Lonchura striata: one gene and its partners. The protein of the gene in region 3 purifies or fractionates together with the protein of the main gene of each other region. This does not show direct contact. Links are inferred from orthologs where the notes say so. Each region holds a gene or a part of one and is shown on either strand. Other genes may lie near its edges. The genes, in order: RAP2C, PTP4A2 and RABGGTB.

The links.
Region 1: the proteins of RABGGTB (region 3) and RAP2C purify together in Homo sapiens (co-immunoprecipitation; 3 studies listed by BioGRID and IntAct, counting the BioPlex papers as one, with this or other methods). This does not show direct contact. The link is inferred for Lonchura striata from reciprocal best matches to the Homo sapiens genes RABGGTB and RAP2C.
Region 2: the proteins of RABGGTB (region 3) and PTP4A2 purify together in Homo sapiens (affinity purification with mass spectrometry; 3 studies listed by BioGRID and IntAct, counting the BioPlex papers as one, with this or other methods). This does not show direct contact. The link is inferred for Lonchura striata from reciprocal best matches to the Homo sapiens genes RABGGTB and PTP4A2.

Annotation. Positions count from the first base shown.
Region 1 is NC_134616.1:7,565,628-7,573,427, forward strand, and holds the start of RAP2C (ras-related protein Rap-2c), read left to right. Parts: upstream 1-4,790; 5' UTR 4,791-4,810; coding exon 4,811-5,083; intron 5,084-6,786; coding exon 6,787-7,065; 3' UTR 7,066-7,106; intron 7,107-7,800. UniProt on the Homo sapiens protein: Small GTP-binding protein which cycles between a GDP-bound inactive and a GTP-bound active form. May play a role in cytoskeletal rearrangements and regulate cell spreading through activation of the effector TNIK.
Region 2 is NC_134628.1:1,142,332-1,149,685, forward strand, and holds the start of PTP4A2 (protein tyrosine phosphatase type IVA 2), read left to right. Parts: upstream 1-4,255; 5' UTR 4,256-4,408; intron 4,409-7,354.
Region 3 is NC_134611.1:4,026,971-4,034,790, forward strand, and holds the start of RABGGTB (geranylgeranyl transferase type-2 subunit beta), read right to left. Parts: upstream 3,078-7,820; 5' UTR 2,996-3,077; coding exon 2,993-2,995; intron 2,540-2,992; coding exon 2,432-2,539; intron 2,266-2,431; exon of another isoform or gene 2,190-2,265; intron 1,435-2,189; coding exon 1,237-1,434; intron 1-1,236. Other genes in the region: ACADM (medium-chain specific acyl-CoA dehydrogenase, mitochondrial), read right to left, coding at 5,353-5,424. UniProt on the Homo sapiens protein: Catalyzes the transfer of a geranylgeranyl moiety from geranylgeranyl diphosphate to both cysteines of Rab proteins with the C-terminal sequence -XXCC, -XCXC and -CCXX, such as RAB1A, RAB3A, RAB5A and RAB7A.

The DNA of each region.
Region 1 (7,800 bases), on a different chromosome or scaffold from region 3:
AGCGACAGCATCTTCCCCTGTGGTGCTGTTCGGCTCCAAGCTCTTCTAAATGGCTGGTGATCTGGTACCACGTCTGTGAGCCAAAGAGAGATGCTTCTCCCAGAAATCCCAACAATCTTCTTGGTGTATCAATTATATTTCAGTGCAGTCCCACTTCTGTTTCAGAATTAGTAAGTGCTTTGGAAAATGTCCTTTACTTCTTTTGAAGTACCATCATGCCTTTTGTTGCGACTAAAGTAATGGCTAAAAGCTGAGGGATGGCAGAAAATCAGAAATTTCTGAGAAAGGTCCTCAGGATTTGCCTCTGAGTCATCTCTATATTGGCAGGAAAAGCTGGCAAAAAAGAATAGCATCTCTGCAGGTTCTGAAACAGCCCCAGAATGAGGAGTCTGGGCCAGGTGGACACATCCAACCCCTAAGACATATTTCACTGGAATTTGACAGGGCTTAGATCAAAAGCTGTCATTGCAGTTCCGTGACTGGTGTAACACGACGACCTCCTTGAATGAGCTGCATGTGAGAGCAGCCCCCGGTGCTCCAGTAGCCATTCCAGCCCTGAGGAATGTCCCTGCCCTGCAGCTTCCACGCTGAACACCATAAGGCACAATAAGTGGATTAGCAAAACCTCTGGAAGAGGCAAAGAAGAAAGGACGCTGGGTCTTAAGCTGGTTTTGCATGTATTTACACAAATGACGTCCCCAGCTAGATGGCAACTGAGGTGAAATCTGGGCTATCCCTGCTGCCCTGGCTCAGCAGCTGCTGCAGCCTTCCTGGCAGGGCAGAGCCTGCTTTGTAGCTCGGGCAGACGTAGGGAGTCAGAGCAGATCGATGATGGCAGCGGGGACAGCCCACAGGAGGTGGTGGCTGTACAGCACCCACACTGTGGCTGCAGTGGGGAGGCTTTGGCTGCTGGGGGTGGTGCAGGCCCACCCTGGCATCCACAGGACACGTTCCAGACTCCTCACTCCATCCATGGCTTGGAGAGGCTCTTTTGTCACCTCTTGGGGTGACTGCTCCCAGTCCCACCTCCCTGTTGGGCACAGCACCGGGCAGGATTCATCTCTCCCATTGGTGAGATGGGGATTGCAATTATTCCTGGCCCTTGCTTGTGCCATCTGTCTGTTCCCTGAACATCCCTGCAGGATCTGTGTCTTAGCAGGTTAATTTAATAAGAGCCTGCTTTATTGTTGCTGGCTGCGGGCACAGCATAGAGCAGCTGAGTCCATCAACAGCACAGAGCTGCTCTGGCAGCAATCGAATCCTGCCCGGATGTTCATTTGGGAAGGTTGTTTTGCTGAGAAAGGGCAAACCCTCCTGGGGCAGCACCGAGGGCTGAGCCCTGCTCCTTTCTTCTTGGCAGGAGCCGTGGGGAAAGTGACAGCAGAGATTAAATCAGGCCTTTGACCCGGGATGTGCCGCACCTCCGGGGAGGGGATGGTGATAGTGAGGGAGTGGCAGAGGTGGCACTGGCAGGAGGTGCCCTGCACGGCTGGCTCAGGGCTTGGCCATTTATGGCAGAAGCAGCTCTTCCCATCCAGACTTTCAAAACCTTTTACATCACCAGCTATTTTTGTGGCTCAGGATATGTGGTAGGGCACAAGGCGGTGAAAGAGCTGTGCAAACTGTTTAATGAAGGGAATGACTTGTCTTAACGGTAACAAACAGCCTGGTGCACTTTGGGATTGGCCCTTTTTTCAGCTGTAGGCATCTATGCCCAGGTATAAAGTGCTGTGAGCTGGGAAATAAATCTTGGCAATCCAAATCAATACTGGGATTGATTTACGGAGGAGGGAAAAAAAATCCATTTTCCCAATCCTGTGTCCACCTGCTTGTTCTTCCCCTCAGCCCAAGAGCGAGGCGTTGCTGGCTAAAGTCAATTGCACAAAAATATATTTGGCTTTTCTCCCGCTGTGCTCTTTGCCCCTTCCTCTCCCGCAGTCATTCCTCCACCCATCACAAACATAATGGACCAGCAGTGCCACAAAGACGTGCACATAATGAACCTAAGTGACCGTGTAATCCTATTATTGTCACCCTCACCCTCCCTTGCTCCTTTGCTCCCTCCCCCCCGTTTGTCACTGTCACCGATTGTGTCATGGTTAAAATTAGATGGGAAGCTCCTCTGGGAGCACTGCGGCTTTCCTTTGTCCCGAGCACCCTGAGTGCATTAAGGTACTTCGCAACAACTCGTGATTTCTAATGGGGTTAAAGTAGGAGGCAGCCTGTTTTAATGCTCACCTTTTTACATTTTCGAGCTGATTCACCAGCCACATGAAAATCTTCCAGCCAGGCACGTCTGCCTCCTGCCAGCAATTCACTTGACAACACAATTCTGGAGGCAACGGTGAAGGAAGGCAAGGGCTTTTTACTTATATTTGATAAAGAAGAGTGAGTCAAATTTGGTGTAACATAAGTAAGATTTGTTCTGGAGGATAAAAGTCCTCATCCTCATTGACCTTTTCCCATAATGGACCTGTTGTCTTTATGGAAAGCAAGTGAACAAAATAAAGCTGTTTGTGAAAACAGCCACAAGCAGAGTCACCTCCTCAGTACCTTTGGATGGTTTTAGCCGCCTTGACCAGGCACCTCTCTATGGCTGCTGGAAACCCAGGATGGACACAACGCAGCAGCTGTGTGTGCCCTGGACTGGCAATCACACAGGTGATGCAAAGGGGAAAGGAACAAATCCAGCACTTCACCACGTGCCTGCTGAAATCCTGCAGGGAGCAGCAGAACAAACGTGTTTGTACTGGAGGGCAGCTGCTCCTACAGGTGGGAATCATCGCGTGGGTCTGGAGTGACTGGGGGGGTTTATTTTAGGGAGAAAACAGACGGGGATTCCTTCAGTCGGTTCCTCCTGCCAAGGGGAGTTCCAGGGCAGGTGGCGCTGGTGCCGTGCTGTCCCTGCTGACCCTACTGTCACCTGCTGACCCCTGCTGTCACCTGCTGACCCTGCTGTCACCTGCTGACCCCTGCTGACCCTGCTGTCACCTGCTGACCCTGCTGACCCTGCTGTCACCTGCTGACCCTGCTGTCACCTGCTGACCCCTGGTGTCATCTGCTGTCACCTGCTGACCCTGCTGTCACCTGCTGTCCCCTGCTGACCCTGCTGTCACCTGCTGACCCTGCTGTCACCTGCTGTCCCCTGCTGTCACCTGCTGACCCCTGGTGTCACCTGCTGACCCCTGGTGTCCCTGCTGACCCTGCTGTCACCTGCTGACCCCTGCTGACCCCTGCTGTCCCCTGCTGTCCCCTGCTGTCACCTGCTGTCACCTGCTGACCCCTGGTGTCATCTGCTGTCACCTGCTGACCCCTGCTGACCCTGCTGTCCCCTGCTGTCACCTGCTGTCCCCTGCTGTCACTACTGACCCCTGCCCTGAGCCCAGCCCGGCCGGGAGCTCCGCCGCTCCTCCCTGGGGGTTTCAGAGCCGGGCAGTGAGCCCTGTGCCAGCTGCACCAGTGCAAGGACACGGGGCAGATCTTGCCTGACCTTGCGTACCTCTAGCTGTGACCTGGAGGCAGCAGCCTGCAGAGTCAGGAATGCTTTGGGCTGGGAAGGATTTAAAGGGGATCTCGTGTCACCCCGGCCTCGGACACTGCAGGACTTGGGGCGGCTCCTCTGGGCAGCCTGTGCGAGGGCCGCACCGCCCGACAGGGACGATTTTATTCCCAATAGCTGATCTGAACTTGCACTCTCTCAGTCTGAACCCATTCCCCCTTTTCTGTCGCGACATGTATTTGTGAACATGTAAACATCCCTCTCTGTCTTTCCTGTAAATTCCCTTCAGGCACTGGCAGGGGCAATTAGGTCACCGCGCAGCTTTCTCATCTCCAGGCTGAACAATCCCAGTCCCAACCTTTCCTCATATCAGAGGAGCTCCATCCCTCTGGTGACTTGGTGGCCCTCTTGTCACCAGCCCAGCGGGCTGCCAGGGATGAAGAACCGCGGTGCCGGTGCCACAGCCCGGGTCCCCTCCCCCGCGGGAAGCTGAGAGGAGTTTGTTAAGGAGTTTGTTCAAGTTATCGAGTACCGAGCAGGAGCTCGTGGAGGGACAACGCGGCGCTCCCAGAGCCGCCCTTCAGGTTCGGGACGGCGGCCGCCATCTTGGCGCCGCCATCTTGGGGGCGGGCAGGGACAGCGCCCCGGTGCCACACCCAAACCTGTCCCCCTGCACAGCACAGTGCCTCGGTGCCATATCCAAAACTGTCCCCCTGCACAACGGTGCCACACCCAAACCTGTCCCCCCGCACAGCACAGTGCCTCGGTGCTACAGTCAAACCTGTCCCCCGGCACAGCGCGGGTGCCTCGATGCCACACCCAAACCTGTCCCCCAGCACAGCACACTGCCTCGGTGTTGCACCCAAACCTGTCCCCAGCACAGCACATTGCCTCGGTGCCACACCCAAACCTGTCCCCAGCACAGCACATTGCCTCGGTGCCACACGCAAACCTGTCCCCCGGCACAGCGCGGGTGCCTCGGTGCCACACTCAAACCTGTCCCCCGGCGCAGTCCGGGCGGGCCGTGACGCAGCACGCCGGAAGTGAGCGCAGGCGGCGGGGCGGGGCGGCCTCCGGTGTCCCAGCGAAACCCTTCCGGGCGGGCGGGTCCCGCGGCGATGGCGGGAGCGCGGCGCTGAGGCAGCGAGCGGGGCCGGGGCCGCGCCGGGCGCTGACGGGGTCTGGCTGCCCCCGGGACGGCGCGGGAGCAGCGGGGCCTCGCCCTTCACGGGAGGCGGGCCGGGGCTATGCGAGGGCCGCGGTGCCGCCTGCCCTAGGCCGGGCCCGGCGCGGAGCGGCCAGCGGGGCCCGATGCGGGAGTACAAGGTGGTGGTGCTGGGCAGCGGGGGGGTGGGGAAGTCCGCCCTGACGGTGCAGTTCGTCACCGGGACCTTCATCGAGAAGTACGACCCCACCATCGAGGACTTCTACCGCAAGGAGATCGAGGTGGACTCGTCGCCCTCGGTGCTGGAGATCCTGGACACGGCGGGCACCGAGCAGTTCGCCTCCATGCGCGACCTCTACATCAAGAACGGGCAGGGATTCATCCTCGTCTACAGCCTGGTCAACCAGCAGTCCTTCCAGGTAACCGAGCCCGGCGTCCCCTCCTCGCACGGAGCCGGCCCTGCCCGGGCCGAGCAGGAAGTTTTAGGGGTAGCCACGTGTGCGTGGCAGCGCTTTATCTCCCAAGGGCCGAAAGTGTAAATGCCCAGCTTGAAAGCGCGTTTACCAGCCCTGCTTCCCGGTGGAAAACTGCTTGCTTTGCAGGTACTTATCAGGGTGCCACCATTGTTAAGTCCCACGCAGTGCTGGAGAACAATGCCTAGCTCCCACTTCCCCAACAGAAATCTCTTGGCAATCCCCTTTTGTGAAGAAATCACTCGATATTAAAACTGAGACTTCCCCTTCCAACCCCCTCTCCTTCCTAAAAGGCATGTTTCTGCAGTTGCTCCTGAAGAGAGTCTCATTGTTCTACAGTTGTGACTTGTTAAGTGAGCTGCTATTTTCCGCTCCCTGCCCCCAAAATATATTCCTGTCCAGCACGAGCTCGATGCTCTCCCAGCGTAGGTGGAGTACTGGAGAGCAGAACTAGCTATACACGGTAATTTGTGGTTCTGGATTTGATTTCTACTATTAAAACTCTCCAAAAAAAGGAACTGTCTCAGCCAGTAATTGGTCTAAGCTGCCTGTAGAAACGGGGCTTTGTTTTTGGGCAGTAAGTGAGTTTAGCAGCACTCCGTGCAGCTTGGGAATTTGCAGCTCCTGCCTTGGCTTGGGCTGCTGAGCTGGGTGTGTTCCAGCTGCTTGGCAAGACCTTCCACACCCCCACTGTTTGCTTCTGCTGAAGGCTAAACCTTATCTCAGCAGAGGCCTCGAAACAACCCTGTGCGAGCTGAAGACACGCTTATCTCTAGAAAACAACAGCACTGACATTGGGATGCTTCTGCTCTCATTTTCACTGATTTTTGGGTTCCAGCGAGCCCTCATTATTTGAGAAATGCATGTGCAGTAATCTTGTTAATATTTAATTATTCCCGTCTGTCTGTAGTGTTTGCTCTGAAGGCTGTAGGTGTAAACCTCTCTGCAGTTCTTTGCACGGTGGTAACTTCAAACGCTGGGATTGCTTTGTCTCAGAACTATGCAAGAATTTGTAGTACCGATAGCAACTTAAAACACTCAGGGGGCAGAGGAGGCTGACTCAGACTTTCAAGTGTAAACGCCCCGTGTCGGCTCAGACTTGAATAAATGCATCTCTAGGTAATAAAATCTCTTTACAGCATCTAATTTGGTTACTTACATGTGATTAAATGTGTTCACAATGAATTATTCTAAGCATTCCAGGACTGAGAAGGCTTTATTTAAATTGATGGTTTTCTCAAGCTGTAAACTAAGCACAAACTTCCTAAATGGTTGTGTAATGGCACGCCCCTGCTAGGGTTACAGGTCGTTAGACTTGAGACAACTTCTTCAGAAAGGTGAAACCAGCCTTCAGAGCAGCAGTACCGTGTCCTCCTCTGGCTGAGAGCACAGCAGTCACTTTCTGTTGGTTTATGCACATAAATTCTTTAAAGTGTGCATGCTTTTATATGAAAGAAGAAGTAGTTTAGTGATAGGTGTTAAATTTTCTCAGAATTCTAGATCTGCGTGACTGTGAGTTTAAAAAGTCTTCTGGTGTATTTTTAATGTCCAGTTGCACGTGAGGGTTACTAAAATGTGTTCCTACAGTGGTTCTGTAGCAATTCCATGTGATTCCTTGCATGCACTAACCAGCTGGATTGTTTGACCAGGATATCAAGCCGATGAGGGACCAGATTGTCCGGGTGAAGAGATACGAGAAAGTTCCTCTGATCCTGGTGGGGAATAAAGTGGATCTGGAGTCGGAGAGGGAAGTCCTATCTGCAGAAGGCAGAGCCCTGGCTCAGGAGTGGGGCTGTCCCTTCATGGAGACGTCAGCCAAGAGCAAAACAATGGTGGATGAACTGTTTGCTGAGATCGTCAGGCAAATGAACTATGCCTCCCTGCCTGAAAAGCAAGATCAGTGTTGTACAACTTGCATCGTCCAGTGAGAGATATTAAGAAAAACCTCAACCATGGCCATACAGAGCAGGTTGGTGGAACATAACTAACTGAGGTGCCTAAACATGGTGTTTCAGTAAGAGATAAAGGGACAGGGAGTGTAAAATGAGGCAGCCTCCCTCCAAAAGATGGGAGATTGTGCACATGATTGAGTCAAATGGACTTCTTGCGTTACCTCAGTAGGGTTAGTCAGGGAAAGCTGCATTTGCTTGCAGTAATTTTACAATGACACAAAATGAGTGATCTCATCTGCACCTATTTTGACTGTCAGTGCTGTATTTGATGCTGTGTTATTCTGCATAAGTGCTTTGTGATGTTGCAGTGGGTTTATTCTTGTAGCTGGTATCTCAGTTATTTTCCAGTAATGGGAGTTACCTTGGAGTTCAATGGGATTATTGTGACCAAGTTTCCCAGTAGTTTTACTGAGAAGACTTTGAGCTTGTTTAAAAGATATAAAGTTCTGTAGCACAGAAACTGATAGTACCCTTCTGCCTTATCAGTGGAATAAGTTTCTTTTGCAAGAGAACCACCCTGAGTGGTGAGAAGTGGCTCAAAGCCCACATGCAACAGTCAAGGGCATGCACAAAGTGTTCTTCATCTCAAATCTCCAGAGCAGAGAACACACTGTAAAATGGCTTCCCATGCACAGCTCTCCTTTTCCAGTGACTCAAAAGAGGTGTGATGAGAGTCCAGCGTTCAGAGGGCCCTCTGTAAAGTTTCCCCTG
Region 2 (7,354 bases), on a different chromosome or scaffold from region 3:
CTCAGGAATGGCGCGGGGCCGGTGGCGGGGTTGGAATCGGGGTGATGGAGACTGGGAATGGTGGATGTGGAGAGTAACTCATCCAGCCCTTCGTGGAGACAGGGAATGATGGAGACTGGGAATGGTGGATGTGGGGAGAGAGTAACTCATCCCATCCGTTGTGGAGGCAGGGAGTGGTGGATGTGAGGAGGGAGTAACTCATCCAGTCCGTCATGGAAGCAGGGAATGGAGGCAGGGAATGATGGAGGCATGGACTTGTGGATGTGGAGAAAGCAACTCATCCAGTCTGTCATGGAAGTGGGGAATGATGGAGACAGGGAATGGTGGATGTGAAGAGAGTAACTCATCCAGTCCTTTGTGGAACCGGCGGCATGGAGGCAGGGAATTGTGGATATGGGGAGAGAGTAACTCATCCAGTCCGTCTTGGAAGTGGGGAACGATGGAGGCAAGGAATGGTGGATGTGGGGAGAGTAACTCATCCAGTCTGTCCTGGAACCAGTGGCGTGGAGGCAGGGAATCATGGATGTGAGGAGAGAGTAATTCATCGATTCCATTGTGGAAGTGGGGAACGATGGAGGCAGGGAATGGTGGATGTGGAGAAAGTAACTCATCCAGTCCTTCGTGGAATTAGAGGTGATGGAGGCAGGGAATCATGGATGTGAGGAGAGAGTAACTCATCCAGTCCCTCATGGAAGTGGGGCATGATGGAGACAGGGAATGTTGGATGTGGGGACAGAGTAACTCATCCATTTTACCTGTGATCCTGCTTCTAATGTGCCCACTGCCTTTGTGCTTCCTATACGTAATGCCACTGTTTATGTGACCCACCCCATCATCGCACTAGAATTAAATCATAAGAAAACCCCTCAGAGCATAGAGTGTGGGCACGAAAGCTGAATGAAAAGTGGCAAACAGCAAACTTAGAATCCTGTGTTGCTAAGGAGCAACTAGGATTCCTTTGTGAAGGCAATAACATTAATGCTCAAGATGCGTGTCTCGGCACTGAACAAAGTATTTGCCACTTTGAAATCCATCCAGTCACTCCCGTCGTGGGAGCAGGGGGTGATGGAGGCAGGGAATGGTGGATGTGAGGAGAGTAACTCCAAGTTTTGTATTAATTCCCTTAAGTAGTGTGCTAAATACAGTTTTAGGTTCCCAACATAATGTTAAAATAGAGACTATGTATGTGGGGGAAGGTTTTTTTTTTTTTTTAGGAATGAGATACTCGCTTTGAGGAACACCTAAATCTTCCAAAGAAAAGGAATTTATGAGTTTTGTATCAGAAGAAGCGAATTTCTTCAGGCCTTGCTCAGACTCCAAGACACCGTGGGGATTAATGGAATTAGTTGACATACAACAGTTTCTTGTTTTAAATAGAATGTATACATAACCATGAGGGATATATGAATATGCAACAGGCTGTTGCTTTTAAGGTTATTCCTTTGTTCACAAGGGATGCTTTTTGTGACTTAAGTGTCCAAGAACATCCAGACATCCGTAATTCTTTGCTTTTTATTGTCTTGCAATTGTCCTAACTCTAAACTTTATTGCTCTAATTGTATTACTATTTTTATAACCATTTCATTATTATTAAACTTAAAATTTGAAAAACCAAGTGATTGGCGTTTTTCACAATTATCAGAGTTTATGTGACTCCGGTTATGACTTTGCAGAGCCATTAAAGCCAGCGAAGAGGCACTGAGCAGCTTCTCTGGGTATTTTGAGGGACAAAGGTTTGCTGGTTCCTTTTTTCTCACCCTCACTTTTGCCCCTTCGTGGATTATTCAGCCGGGAATGCCGTGCTCCAGCCGGGAGCGCCGTTCTCCAGCTGGGATCGCCGTGCCCCAGCTGGTGTTTCCCCGTGTGTTCTTGACCACGGAACCGGTTCCTCGATCCTGATCCTCGATTCCCAATCCTGATCCTGATCCCCAGTCTGCGATCCTGGTTCCCGGTCCCCGATCCTGATCCCAGTCCCCGATTCCCGATCCCGGCCTCCGGTCCCGATCCTGGTCCCCGATCCCAACCCTAGTCCACGTTTCTGATCCTGGTCCCCGGTCCCCGTGCCAATCCCGGTCCCCCATCCCAGTCCTGATCCTGATACTTGGTCCCTGGTCCTGATCCTGGTGCCCGGTCCCCGTCCCAATCCCGGTCACTGATTCCCGATCCCGGTCCCTGATTCCCGATCCTGGTCCCCGATCCCAGTCCCGATCCTGATCCTCGGTCCCTGATCCCGATCCCCGGTTTCCGATCCTGGTCCTCAGTCCCCGTCCCAGTCCCGGTCCCCAATCCTGATCCTGGTTCCCGGTCCCGATCCCAATCCCCATCCTGGTCCTTGGTCCCCGGTCCCGATCCCGGTCCGCATCCCCGATCCCGATTGCCGATCCCGGTCCTTGGTCCCCGATCCCGGATCCCAATCCCGCTCCCGGATCCCGATCTGTCCCTGATTCCCGATCCCAGTCCCCGTTCCCGGTCCTTGGTCCCCGGTCCCGATTCCCGGTCTCCGATTCCCGCTCCCGAGCCCCGTTCCCGGTCCTTGGTCCCCGGTCCCGGATCCCGGTCTCCGATTCCCGCTTCCGGTCCCCGATCCCGAGCCCCGTTCCCGGTCCTTGGTCCCCGGTCCCCGATCCCGAGCCCCGTTCCCGGTCCTTGGTCCCCGGTCCCGGTCCCGGTCACCGATCCCGGTCCCGATTCCCGCTCCCGGTCCCCGATTCCCGCTCCCGGTCCCCGATCCCGAGCCCCGTTCCCGGTCCTTGGTCCCCGGTCCCCGATTCCCGCTCCCAGTCCCCGATCCCGAGCCCCGTTCCCGGTCCCCGGTCCCCGATCCCGAGCCCCGTTCCCGCTCCCGGTCCCCGATCCCGAGCCCCGTTCCCGGTCCTTGGTCCCCGGTCCCCGATTCCCGCTCCCGGTCCCCGATCCCGATTCCCGCTCCCGGTCCCCGATCCCGAGCCCCGTTCCCGGTCCTTGGTCCCCGATCCCGGTCCCGATTCCCGCTCCCGGTCCCCGGTCCCGGTACCCGATTCCCGCTCCCGGCCCTTGGTCCCCGGTCGTGCTCCCGATTCCCGCTCCCAGTCCCTGTTCCCGGTCCCGATTCCCGGTCTCCGATTCCCGCTCCCGAGCCCCGTTCCCGGTCCTTGGTCCCCGGTCCCGGATCCCGGTCTCCGATTCCCGCTTCCGGTCCCCGATCCCGAGCCCCGTTCCCGGTCCTTGGTCCCCGGTCCCCGATCCCGAGCCCCGTTCCCGGTCCTTGGTCCCCGGTCCCGGTCCCGGTCACCGATCCCGGTCCCGATTCCCGCTCCCGGTCCCCGATTCCCGCTCCCGGTCCCCGATCCCGAGCCCCGTTCCCGGTCCTTGGTCCCCGGTCCCCGATTCCCGCTCCCAGTCCCCGATCCCGAGCCCCGTTCCCGGTCCCCGGTCCCCGATCCCGAGCCCCGTTCCCGCTCCCGGTCCCCGATCCCGAGCCCCGTTCCCGGTCCTTGGTCCCCGGTCCCCGATTCCCGCTCCCGGTCCCCGATCCCGATTCCCGCTCCCGGTCCCCGATCCCGAGCCCCGTTCCCGGTCCTTGGTCCCCGATCCCGGTCCCGATTCCCGCTCCCGGTCCCCGATCCCGGTCCCGATTCCCGCTCCCGCTCCCGCCGCGGGCTCGGGGCAGCGGAAGCCGCGGGAACCCCCGGGCGGGCCGAACCACTGAGCGCGGTGGGGAGGAGCGGGCTGTACCACTGCGCTAGCGGGGGGGGAGAGATGCTGGCGTGGAAGGCTCCGTGTGCACGTGCGGCCAGAGGGCCGGTCCAAGTGCGGGGGGGGCCGGGACGTACCAAGCGTGACTGGGGACGGTCAGGGCGAGCCGCCCTCGGGCTATACCAATGCCCAACGGGGGGGAGAGGCCTGTACCACAGGATATAACGGGGGATGGAAGGAGCCGTTCTCCGCTACACGGAGAGGGGCCACCTCCCTCTGGAGCGGGTTGCTCAAGGCATTACCTAACCCGGCTTCGAACAATTCCAAGCTCGGGGCATTCCACAACTGCGCCAGCGCCTCGCCGCGCTCACAGGGAAGAATTTCCTCCTCACACCGAACCTCTGTAGCTCCCTGTCTCGTCAGTGCAGTTCGTGACGGGAGCTTTCCCGGGAGGCCACGCCAGACACTGAAAAGCGCTACGAGCTCCGTTCCCGGCTCTTTCCCCCCGCACGCCTGGAATGGACGCGCCCAGCGCGCTGCCCCGAGGCGGGGGCCGGTGTGGGCGGACCGTACCACCGCGCGGGCCGTGGGTGTGCGGGGGGGGGCGCGGCCTGTGCGCTCGGAGCCGTGTGGCGGCGCGCGGGGCTCTCGGTGTCTCCGGCCGGACCGGGCCCAGCGCAGCCCCAGCCCCGTCACGGAGCCTGCCCGGCCCCCGGCCCGCTCAATGCCCACGGTGAGAACCGCGGAGGGCGCCGGGCCAGGCGGGACGCGCCGCCCCGGGGGCTGGGGGAGAGGTGGCGGAGGGGCTCGGGGAATCCCGGGTGTTGCTTGGCGTGTTTGGTTGGAGGGGGTTCCCTGCTCTGGGGGGCCTGCAGAGTCTCCTTCGGCCCTTGTGGGTGGTTTGGAGGGGGTTTTGTGCTCTGGGGGAGGCTGTGGGAGGGTCAGGGTTGGGGAAGGCTGAGGGGGTGGTTTGGGGGTGCAGGGTTTGGGGTGCAGGGTTTGGGGTGGCTTTGGGAGTGAAGGAGGTTTGAGGGTGCAGGGTTTGGGGTGAGTTTGGGGGTGCAGGAGGTTTGGGAATGGGTTTGGGGGTGCAGGAGGTTTGGGGTGGCTGTGGAGGTGCAGGATTTGGGGGTGCAGGGTTTGGGGTGGGTTTGGGGGTGCAGGATTTGGGGGTGGGTTTGGGGGTGCAGGGTTTGTGGTGCAGGGTTTGGGGTGAGTTTGGGGGTGCAGGAGGTTTGGGAATGGGTTTGGGGGTGCAGGAGGTTTGGGGTGGCTTTGGAGGTGCAGGATTTGGGGGTGCAGGGTTTGGGGTGAGTTTGGGGGTTTAGGGTTTGGGGGTGCAGGAGGTGTGGGGTGGGTTTGGGGCTGCAGGATTTGGGGTGGCTTTGGGAGTGAAGGAGGTTTGGGGGTGCAGGGTTTGGGGTGAGTTTGGGGGTGCAGGGTTTGGAGGTGCAGAGTTTGGGGTGGCTCTGGGGGTGAAGGAGGTTTGGGGGTGCAGGATTTGGAAATGGGTTTGGGGGTGCAGGGTTTGGGGTAGGTTTGGGGGTTTAGGGTTTGGGGTGGGTTTGAGGATGCAGGAGGTTTGGGGGTGCAGGGTTTGATGGTCCCCAAGGCTCTGCCCAGCTTCAGGGGCTGGTTTGGGGAGTCCTTCCCGTTGTGGAGGAAATTCCCGGCCTGTGGGGTTTGTTTGGGGGATCCTGCGGGGCTTTGAGGGCTCCCTGCATGCCAAGAGGAGGTTTGGGGGCAGCACAAAGTTCTGGGGTCCCCCCTGTGCTTGGGGGTGCTCTGGGGGTCCCCCTGTGCCTGTGGAGGGTCCCCAGGGCTGGCTGGGGACAGCTTTGACCTGCAGCTTTGGGGGTCCCTTCTCTTTTTTGGGAGGTCTTCCTCATCTTGGGGATGTGGGGGGGCTCAGTGCCCACCCCCAGCCTTGTGTGGTTTTGGGGGGATGTTCAGGAAGGGACGGCATTTCCTGGGGGGGACAGGGAGGCTGCAGGAGGGTGGGATGTGGGGTTTGTGCCTGGTTTTTGGGGGGAATTTGTACCTGGCTTTGGGGGGATTTTGTATTTGCTTTTTGAGGGATTTGTACCTGGCTTTGGGGGGAATTTGTATCTGGTTTTTGGGGGGAATTTGTATGTGGTTTTTGAGGGGTTTCTACCTGGCTTTGGCGGGAATTTGTATTTGGTTTTTGGGAGAAATTTGTATCTGGTTTTTGAGAGGTTTGTACCTGCTTTTTGGGGGGAATTTGTATCTGCTTTTGAGGCATTTGTATCTGGCTTTGGGGGGAGTTTGTACCTGGTTTGTGAGGGATTTGTGCCTGGATTTGGGGAAATTTGTATCTGGTTTTTGAGGGATTTGTACCTGGATTTTGGGGGATTTTGTACCTGGATATTGAGGGGTTTGTGTCTGGCTTTTTGGGGAATTTGTACCTGGCTTTGGGGGGGAATTTGTACCTAGTTTTTGAGGGGTTTGTACCTGGCTTTTGGGGGAGTTTGTGCCTGGTTTTGGGGTTTTTTTACCTGGTGTTGGGGGGCATTTGGAGAGTGTTTTGAGGGCAGGGGTGTTACCTATTCCTGTGTGAATGGGGGACAAGCTTGATAAAAGCTATGTATTTTTTGGAGGGGTGGGACAGAGAATCCTCGAAGTGGCCTGCAAAGGGTGAAGTTTTTTTTTTTTCTGTGTTTAGGGCTGGAAAAAGCTGGGGGTGAGGGGTGACATTTCTCAGGCTGGAGGGGGGACAGGAAAGGAAGGGGTGTCCAGGATATGGTGGTTTTCCTGGGGTGGGAATTGGGGGCAGGGCTGTGGGGCCGGTTTGTCTGGATAAAGGGCTGTTACCCCGTGGGATTTGGGGCTGGGAAAGGGGGAGCCGATGGATTCTGAGCCGAGCAACGCCTCGGGAAAAAAATCCTGGCGTGGCCCGGGGGTGCTGCGAGTGACCTGCGGGAAGGTCTGAGTCAGGCAGGGGCGGATTTCTGGGCAGTGTCAGCTCGGGGTGAGTTTGGGATTGAGAAGGAGCTGAGCTTTAGGATTTGGAGCACAGGTGAGGCTGTGGGGAAGTGCTGGAATTGGCTTCTTTGGGCTGTGATTAGTCACCACCTGCATTTTCTCCCCGGGGCAGTGTGCGCTCTCTCGGCTGGTTTCGGGGTGAGGAGGAGGAGGAGGAGGAAGGCAGAAATTTGGCTTTGAAAAAGCTCCTGCATAAATGGAAACTCGCCTCGAAACTCCCCGAACGAACCAGGCAGGGTCTGACTCAGAACTGCAGTTAGGATTTAAAGAGGGGGGGGGGAAGGAAATAAAAAATAAAAAAAAAGAGATACCCACCACTAGCAGCAGCCAGAAAACTCTGTCTGCTTATGACTCAACATGTAGAAATACTTGGATTTAATCAACTCAGCTGGAGTTAAGGTAGGAGTGTGGATGCACAGCCAGGAATGTGGGTCTTACTCAGGATCTAGTTGTGTTTTTTTTTTTCTCTTTTTATTTATTTATTTTTTAACACCTCAAAAAACACCTCAGTGAATGATTCCAGGCTGAATTCCCTGCAGGGATCCATCCTGCTCTTCCCCACTGCAGTGCTCAGAGCTTTCCCTGCCTCAGGGCAGAGCTCAGGCTGCTCCCCTGGCTCCTGCCAGGACTTTGCCCCCTCTGGAATTCCAGGTTTGATACCTGGGAAGGCAGATCC
Region 3 (7,820 bases):
GCAAATCTGAACAAATTACTATTAACTGTGATCATAAGAACATATGGTATGACCCTTTAAACATCCCAGATATGTAGACAGGACCAAATGGTGTTCGTTCACTAAGACCATGCATACGCATTAAGATATGCTGGTTAAGTTTACCACAAAAAATTTTACATCAGCATTTCTGAACACTTTTTCACTTTGGACAGCTACAGCTCAATTTAGTTAACATGAAAATATCTCCTAGTAATATCAAGTACATATTTAAGAACTAACATATCTAATTTGTAAGGTAACAACCTCGAATTATACCTCCCTTATACTGAACTGGAATATGTGAAAGGAGCTGGATTGGACAGTTTGGAAATGTTCAGACATCACAGCCTGGAAAAACTTTAGTGTCCTGGTTCTCACAGTATTCAGAGTAATTCTAGAGCTAAAGTGGCAATAATGATCAACATTACAGCATCCTGTCCTACCTAAGGGGTTCAAACCCACCATCTTAAATCCAGCATAGTTTCTGCCTAAAAAAGAATGCTTTATTACTTTTTGTAATATCATTAAAATACTTCATCCAGAAGATTGAATGAAAGACACTCACTGCAAGCAATCAAGCCAATTGTTCAGAAGTGTTTGAGCCTTTTTGGTACTTTTTCACACAATGGTTTGCATCAGCAGAACAAAAAACCAGAACAAAATAAAGGCATGAGCAATAGTGAGAAAATAAGTCTATAACAGAGACAGCTGCAGTGAAAAAAATAAGATAGAGAGTTATTTCTTATCAGGGGGAGCATATTCACCAAATAAATTAAATGCTCAACAGATTAGTAAATTTTTTCAATTATACACCCCAAATAAACTCATATAAAAAAAAAAAATTTGCTCTTGTTCTGGTCATACATATCTGTCACCTCAGCGTGCACTAAGAATAATTTATAAAATAAAAAATTATCTATAAAATGCTCCAATAAAACCTGTAGCTAAGGAGGATTCCAAGATAACTTACAAAACTGGCAACAATGCTGTAACCATTAATTGACCATTAAAGGTAAAACATTCCCAAATAGGACAATTTTTGGAAAGTGACACAGCTAAATCCTACAGTTTTGTCCATTAGATTATTTTTTTTTTTTAAATAAGATACTGAAATAATTTTTGTCATGGGCCTCCAACAGTAACTGGTTCATAAATCTACAATCATAAAAACTTAATCACAAACACTTTTTTCTAAAATTACCCTTCTACTTTTACCTGGACAGCACTGAGGGTATACAGAAGATGAGGATCATGACCTATGCTGGCACTTATTCCACCACACTCATGTTGACACGATTTGATAAATGACAGAATTTCTTCTTTGTTCATTCGGTGCAGCTGCCCCATGAGATCCATCGCTGTCAGTCCCCAGTACACACCACTCATCCTCAAATACTCCGACATACAGTATTCCTAAATAGTGTATTATTTTAGTTCTTGATCAGATGAGCACACCATCAATATAGCGCAATGAAAATACATTAGTTAACTTCCACAAATATCTTAGCTTCTAGTTAGTGAATCGTTTTCCAACCATTTAGCAACTACACATCAGCCACTCAGAGATATTCGGTACATCACGCACATGTGTATATACATACTCATACATATGGGAAAATGTACATATAGATATCAACACGTACTATACTCCCTTCCTCCCTGTATTTTTCTAGTTCAAACCATCAAGCTCAATGTCAAATTAGCCACGAACAAGTAGTTGGGCACCAATTCACTTCAGATGACTTAATATCTTGACATCCAAAGAAGCCCTCAAATTGCCACCCTAACTAGTCTCAGATAATAACAAGTCTATTTCAAAGTGCCAAAACCCTTACAATTTAAAGTTGCACTAGAGAGTGAAATTTTTTATTGAATTCTCTTGCATTGATTACATCACCTGCACTACACAAACATTATTTTTTACATGCACTACAACTGAAAGCAAGTGCTTGGCATGCTTTTCTGAACAGTAAAGGTAACCGCAACTTTTCTTCATGTAAGCAGTTATTGACAATTTTTACTGCCGGAAGTGGAATTCCATTTTTGTGGACTACATCCAACCACTTATGATTGCAAAATAGATGTAAGTTGTCCCATCAAAAGAGTAACATGCAAATGCAACTCTACTTGTGCATTCTAGTGGATAAAGAAGCTAGTAGGCTGTTTCTCAGGTCTCAGAGTAATTATAGAGCTAAAATAATAATCTTCAAAATTATAGTCAGATAATACATGACAAAAGTCACCACAGACATAGAGACATTAACAAGGGCACCTTTGTTTTACACTTTGGATTGCAGGGTAAAAAACAATTAGCTAGTTAACATGCATCTAACCCTTAAATCTGAGCCAATAAATAAAGGTTATTACTGTTAACAAAACCACAGCTGCACTGTAACAAACTGATACGTACATAATCATCTTTCTTTGTTCCGTATGAAGCTATATAGTCCGCATGTTTTTCTGAAAGTAATGTGCTTGGGGCATCGGGTTTTATTATAACATCCTTTTGCGGTGTTCCCTGTAAAAAGCATCAAGAAGTCAGTTGCAATGTCAGATCAAAACGTTTTAGCAACTTGGTATAAATGAGCCAACACCGGTGGCTGTGACTTCGGGAAAAAAACATCCCTCTACCTATTTTGAGCCTAGGTCAGGTTGCGCATCTCACGCCATCACTGTTCAGCCTGGCTAAACCCTTCCCCAGGAAAGGCTACGAACCAAACCTTGCAATAAAGCTAAGAAGTAACACCAATTCGCCAAGGACACCCTGAAGTGCCGGACGCAGGAGCCCTTCCCCGAGCCCGGCCGTGCCGCCCCGCGCCCCCACGACTCCGCGCGGCCCGGCCGAGCCCGCGCGCTCCCGGGGCCGCTGGAGCGGCGAGAGCCGCCCCGAGCCGGCTCGGCGCGGCCCGCGCCCCTCCAAGGCCGGTACAGCCGCGCGCCAGACGAGCCGCAGCACGGAGCCCCGACCCACCATGTTCTCCGCACGCACAGGAGGAGGCGAGGAGGCGAAGCGGAAGGCGGAAGGCGGCGGCCGGCGGGGCCTCGCCGTGCCCCACAGGAAGAGGCGAAGCGGCGAGGCGGAAGGCGGGGCCGAGCGGCGCCGCTGCTCCGCGCTGTGCTCTTCAAGGGGCCGGCAGCCGCCTTTGCCTTCTGACGTGCGGCAGGTAAAGTCTGCTCCAGCTGTGCACTTTCTTCCATCACAGCAAATAGGACAGCGTTTAGAAATAACTTCGGTTTCCTTCCTCAGGTCTGTGAAAAAGCAAATCCAAGAATTTAGTCGCAGGTAAAATGGGTAAAGATAGCTGTCCTTTTGCTCAAAACCATTTCTCTTGCTTCTTCATTAAAATTGTCTTGGGTGACTCTATTCATGATTACCAACTCTTGATGCTGGCACATGTTCCCCCTGAACTATACCAGGCAGGAACATCAAAGAAGTAGTACTAAACATAATGCTGTGTTGCATAGGACAGTCAAAAATAAGGTCTGTTTCTTACATATGTCAAATACTTACTAAAGATGTTGCATTATGGGTTTTGGGGGAAAATCAGTAATTTATAGAGACTAACTGCTTTCTTTAAAGAACTGATTTTCCAGGTATTTTACCCAAGAAGTAAGGATTGCAGGCAGAGCTTATACCTGATGACAGCAGTAGAACCATCCGGTAAATTCAGATGAGACATGAAAGAGACCAGACAGAAGCAAGGACATTTTGGAGTGAAATTGGAAATTACTTACTAGAATTACTCAGGTTTGAAGATATCTCTTGAAATCATGGAGCACAACCCACCTACACCAAGTAGGCTTAGCTAGAGGCAGGTTGTTCAAGACACTACTTGTTGAGTTTTGAGAGTCAAATGGAGACTCCATCACCTCTGCCAGCATATAACATCCCTCCTGTCAATGGGTACTATGAGGCTGGCTCCCTCCCCTTTATTGCGTCCCATCAGGTATTCATACACATAGATAAAATTATCTGAGCTTTCCCTTGTCCAGGCTAAAAAGTTAGCCTCTTCTCACATGACAGATGCTTCAGACCCTTAATATTTTTGTGGCCATGTGCTAGACTCCCTTCTTTAAGTCCCCCTCTTTCTTATTCAGGGGAGCCTAGAACTGGATTCAGTACAGCCTCACGTATCCAGTAATTTGTCTAAGAACTCCAGGAAATGTCAATTTTGCCAGCATTGCCAGGAAAAGTCTATCCAAGGTTAAAAAAAAATCCTAATGCCTTCTTCTTGGCTGTTTTTGCTGCAAGCATAGCTAAGTATATACATTGATGGAAAGCAGTAATAGGTTTATATATACAAGAACGACATTAAGCTATTAGAGAGTACACAAAGGAGGGCAGTCAAGATGGTGAAGGGCCTTGTGGGGAATCTGTATGAGGAGTGGCAGAGGTCACTTGGTCTGTTCAACCTGTACAAGAGTCAGAGAGGAGACTAATCACAGTCTATAACTTCCTTGTGAGGGGAAGAGGGACAGACACTGATTTCATCTCTCTAGTGCTCAGTGACAGAACCTGAAGGAATGGCTGGAGCTGAGTCAGAAGGTTTACATTTGGTATTAGAGGAAGGTTTTTCCCCCATAGTATGGTCAGGCACTGAACAGGCTTGCCAGGTCACAAGCTCCAAGGCTGCCAGAACTCAAGCAGCATTTGAACCATGCTTTTGGGCACAGAGTGGGATTTTTGTGCAAGGCCAGGAGTTGGACTTGAGGGTCCTTGTGGCTCCCTCCCAGCTCAGCATACTCTTTGATTCTGTGTTTAAATATACTGGATTTTAAATAAAAGACATATTGTAAATCATTATTAAGTCATTACCACTTGAAGTGATTCATCCTCGTTTAATGTGTACATGCTTCAGAGTGTAAAGGCCAGACTCTCTCAAGCTGATACTGATACTGCTGACTACTATATAAATCCCCAGCACAGATGCACATAGACGGTAGCAATGCAGGTCTTCCTGCTGCTCAGCTGGAATAGCTCTTCAGCTGCTTCGGGCAAGAGCATAGAGAAACTGAAATACAGCTATTAACCTACTTCAGAAATTGTATTTTGGGTTAGTTGTCCAGTGTAAGTGATATGACAAGCAAAATTAATACAAACTAACCACACTTCTCTTAAAAATTTTTTATTTAAATGCAGCATTGACTGTCAAAAATTACACTCTATCTTACTTTATACTGAGAACAGAATCAGTGCTTAATAATGAACAGAATAAAAATATTTTGAAGCTTTTTTTTTCATCCCTTTTTAATTCTATTGAGAAACACACTAAAATCTTCCATAAGAACACAGAAGACTACAGCAGTGCCAGACACACTTTATATATTTCTTTAAGCCTTAAATTTGCCAACATGTTCACGAGCTATGATCATCCTTTGAATCTGAGCAGTTCCCTCATAAATCTGAAAAGGAGAATTGCAATAATGTTACTGGGTGATTTTTAAAAAGGTTTTAACAGGTATACATTTTTCAACCTCCATGGCACTAATCCAATGTGGATTACGATGTGCAGAAGACAGAAAAAAACCAGAGAAAATTCCAGTGTGCCAGAGTAATTACAGTGGGCTAAATTAAATGTAACTCATACAAGATACTGAGAAAGTCTTGTTCTCTCAGGTGCTCCTAACCTAAAGTCAGTAGGGCTCTCATGAAAACAGATTACAACATTCCTCTTATTTGAGGAAGAAAATACATTATTTAGATTTTTCAAAGTAGGATCTGAAATCATGGTTAGAAGGGAAGAGATGACTTGTCCTTAAGCGTTTTCTTTAACTAGACTTTCAAGGTCATAACCATATGTTGTCTTTGATCCATTTATTTCCATTGCTTCTTATTAACTAGTACTCTCTCCCACACGGTTTTCTTTGTGGTTTTCTTTATTCTTGCATTTTCTTGAAGAAACAGCCTGCATCATCCCTCTGTCCTGTTTGTTTGCTGGTAGCAAAGTCAAAAATAAACAATAAAGCACCTATGAAGTTCTAATGCCAAAGGAGGACATATGCTCCACAGGCATACTGCAATGTAATGCAATGGCTGAGGCAACATAGTCTAGAGGCTTTAATGTTTCAGCTCCCACTTCTGTCAGAACTTTGTTTGGCAAATTGCTGAAAATTATGCAAATTCACTTACAGGAATAATCTTTCCAGGAACCTTAAAAGCATTTTAAAAATAAGAATGCTATAACCTGTGTTCACATTAGTGTTCTGGTTCAGAACAAGCTGTTGATTCCCAGGGTGAATTCTCTGCTGCTGCTTACCCCATGTTGATCCAGTCCACCGAGAAGACTGTGTTTTGTGAGTACTAGGTGCCTTCTGAAACCAACTGAAATGGAAGCTCTGCTTTCTCTCTATACTAAACATTCACCAATCCCTAGGAAAGCCATAATGGTACAAGCCTGCACCTGGACCCTAACAGTTGGATGCCTATCAGGGACATAAATTCCAAGGGACCAAACAGGTTTGCTATGAACTCAGACTCGTCAAACTGCTTAGAGCATAGCTGTCAGGGCCTCAGAAGCTGTTCCTGCAATCTACCAAACTGCTCCTATTGCACTAAAATTTGCACTTACTGATGAACACAGCCATGTAAATCAAGTGTAAAGACATCACAACTCACAATCTTACTAAGTAATTACAGGAAAGATTTTATTTATAAGCTGATGGAAATAGTTTCAAGACTCTCTGACAATTAAAGAAAGGAAGTTTTCCAAATTTAAGAGTTTCCAAACCTAAGAGTTTCTATCAAAGTAGCCAAGATGTGTAGCTGGACAAAACTAGGACACAGTAAGGACATGTAAAAATGTTATCAGTAAACACAATAAAAGGATTGTGTAATTCAAAAAAAGACCAAACATATGAAAGATAATTTGAAAAATCAAGATTTCTGCATGCAACATATGGCCAAAAGTACCTACCATCTGGAATTGAGCAATGATACAGCAAAGCACAGTGAAGTGTAAGATATAATCAAGAGACATGGACAAAATATTTGCAAGACAAAACCTTTCCTGAATTTTATTGGGGATGAAATGGAACTGACAGTCATAAAAAATTTAATACTAAGTCTGATTAATTAGAAAAACAAGCCTACTTAGCCTTGCATTTGGATCACTGTAATGAAAAAACTAAGTAATAATGGGAATTTGTTAAATCAATCTCAGTCAATCAGAGATTCAACCCTCACACCATCATTCTCTAAAACAGCATGCAACCTGACAAGAAAAAAATCTCAATCATAAATTTCAATGAGTCATTCATTTCCTCTTTCACGAAAGTGAAGTTATTTATAGGGACCTTTAGATTACAGCATAGCAGTTGTCTTTCCTTAAACTGAGAAAAATTAATTCTTGGCTAGTGGCAATAATAGTTTGCATTTTGAAGTCAGCTGTAAGACAAATATTAACTGCCTAGAATCTTGGATTGACAGCTGTTATAGTTAGCAATCATTAGAGGTCATAGTCTATGTGCGTTTCTTGGTATCATCTACTTTGGTATGTTTTATCTAGTCACTGGTACTGTTAGATATCAATAAAGATTACTGGTTTTGCCAAATGCAAGTAAAATATTCTTGCTGAATGAAGAATTGCAGCATAGTATATGCTAATATACTAATTACAACATGACATGGAATAATTTCTTGACAGTAACACTGCAGTAAAAAACTTGAGTATTACAGTGAACTATGGGCTAAATATGAGTACAAAAAGGTCTTGTTAAAAGAATGGATAATCACTCTACATTGTGTCACACTTCTGTTGATACAACACATTTTACATGTCATGGTGCCAGCTAGGATAGGG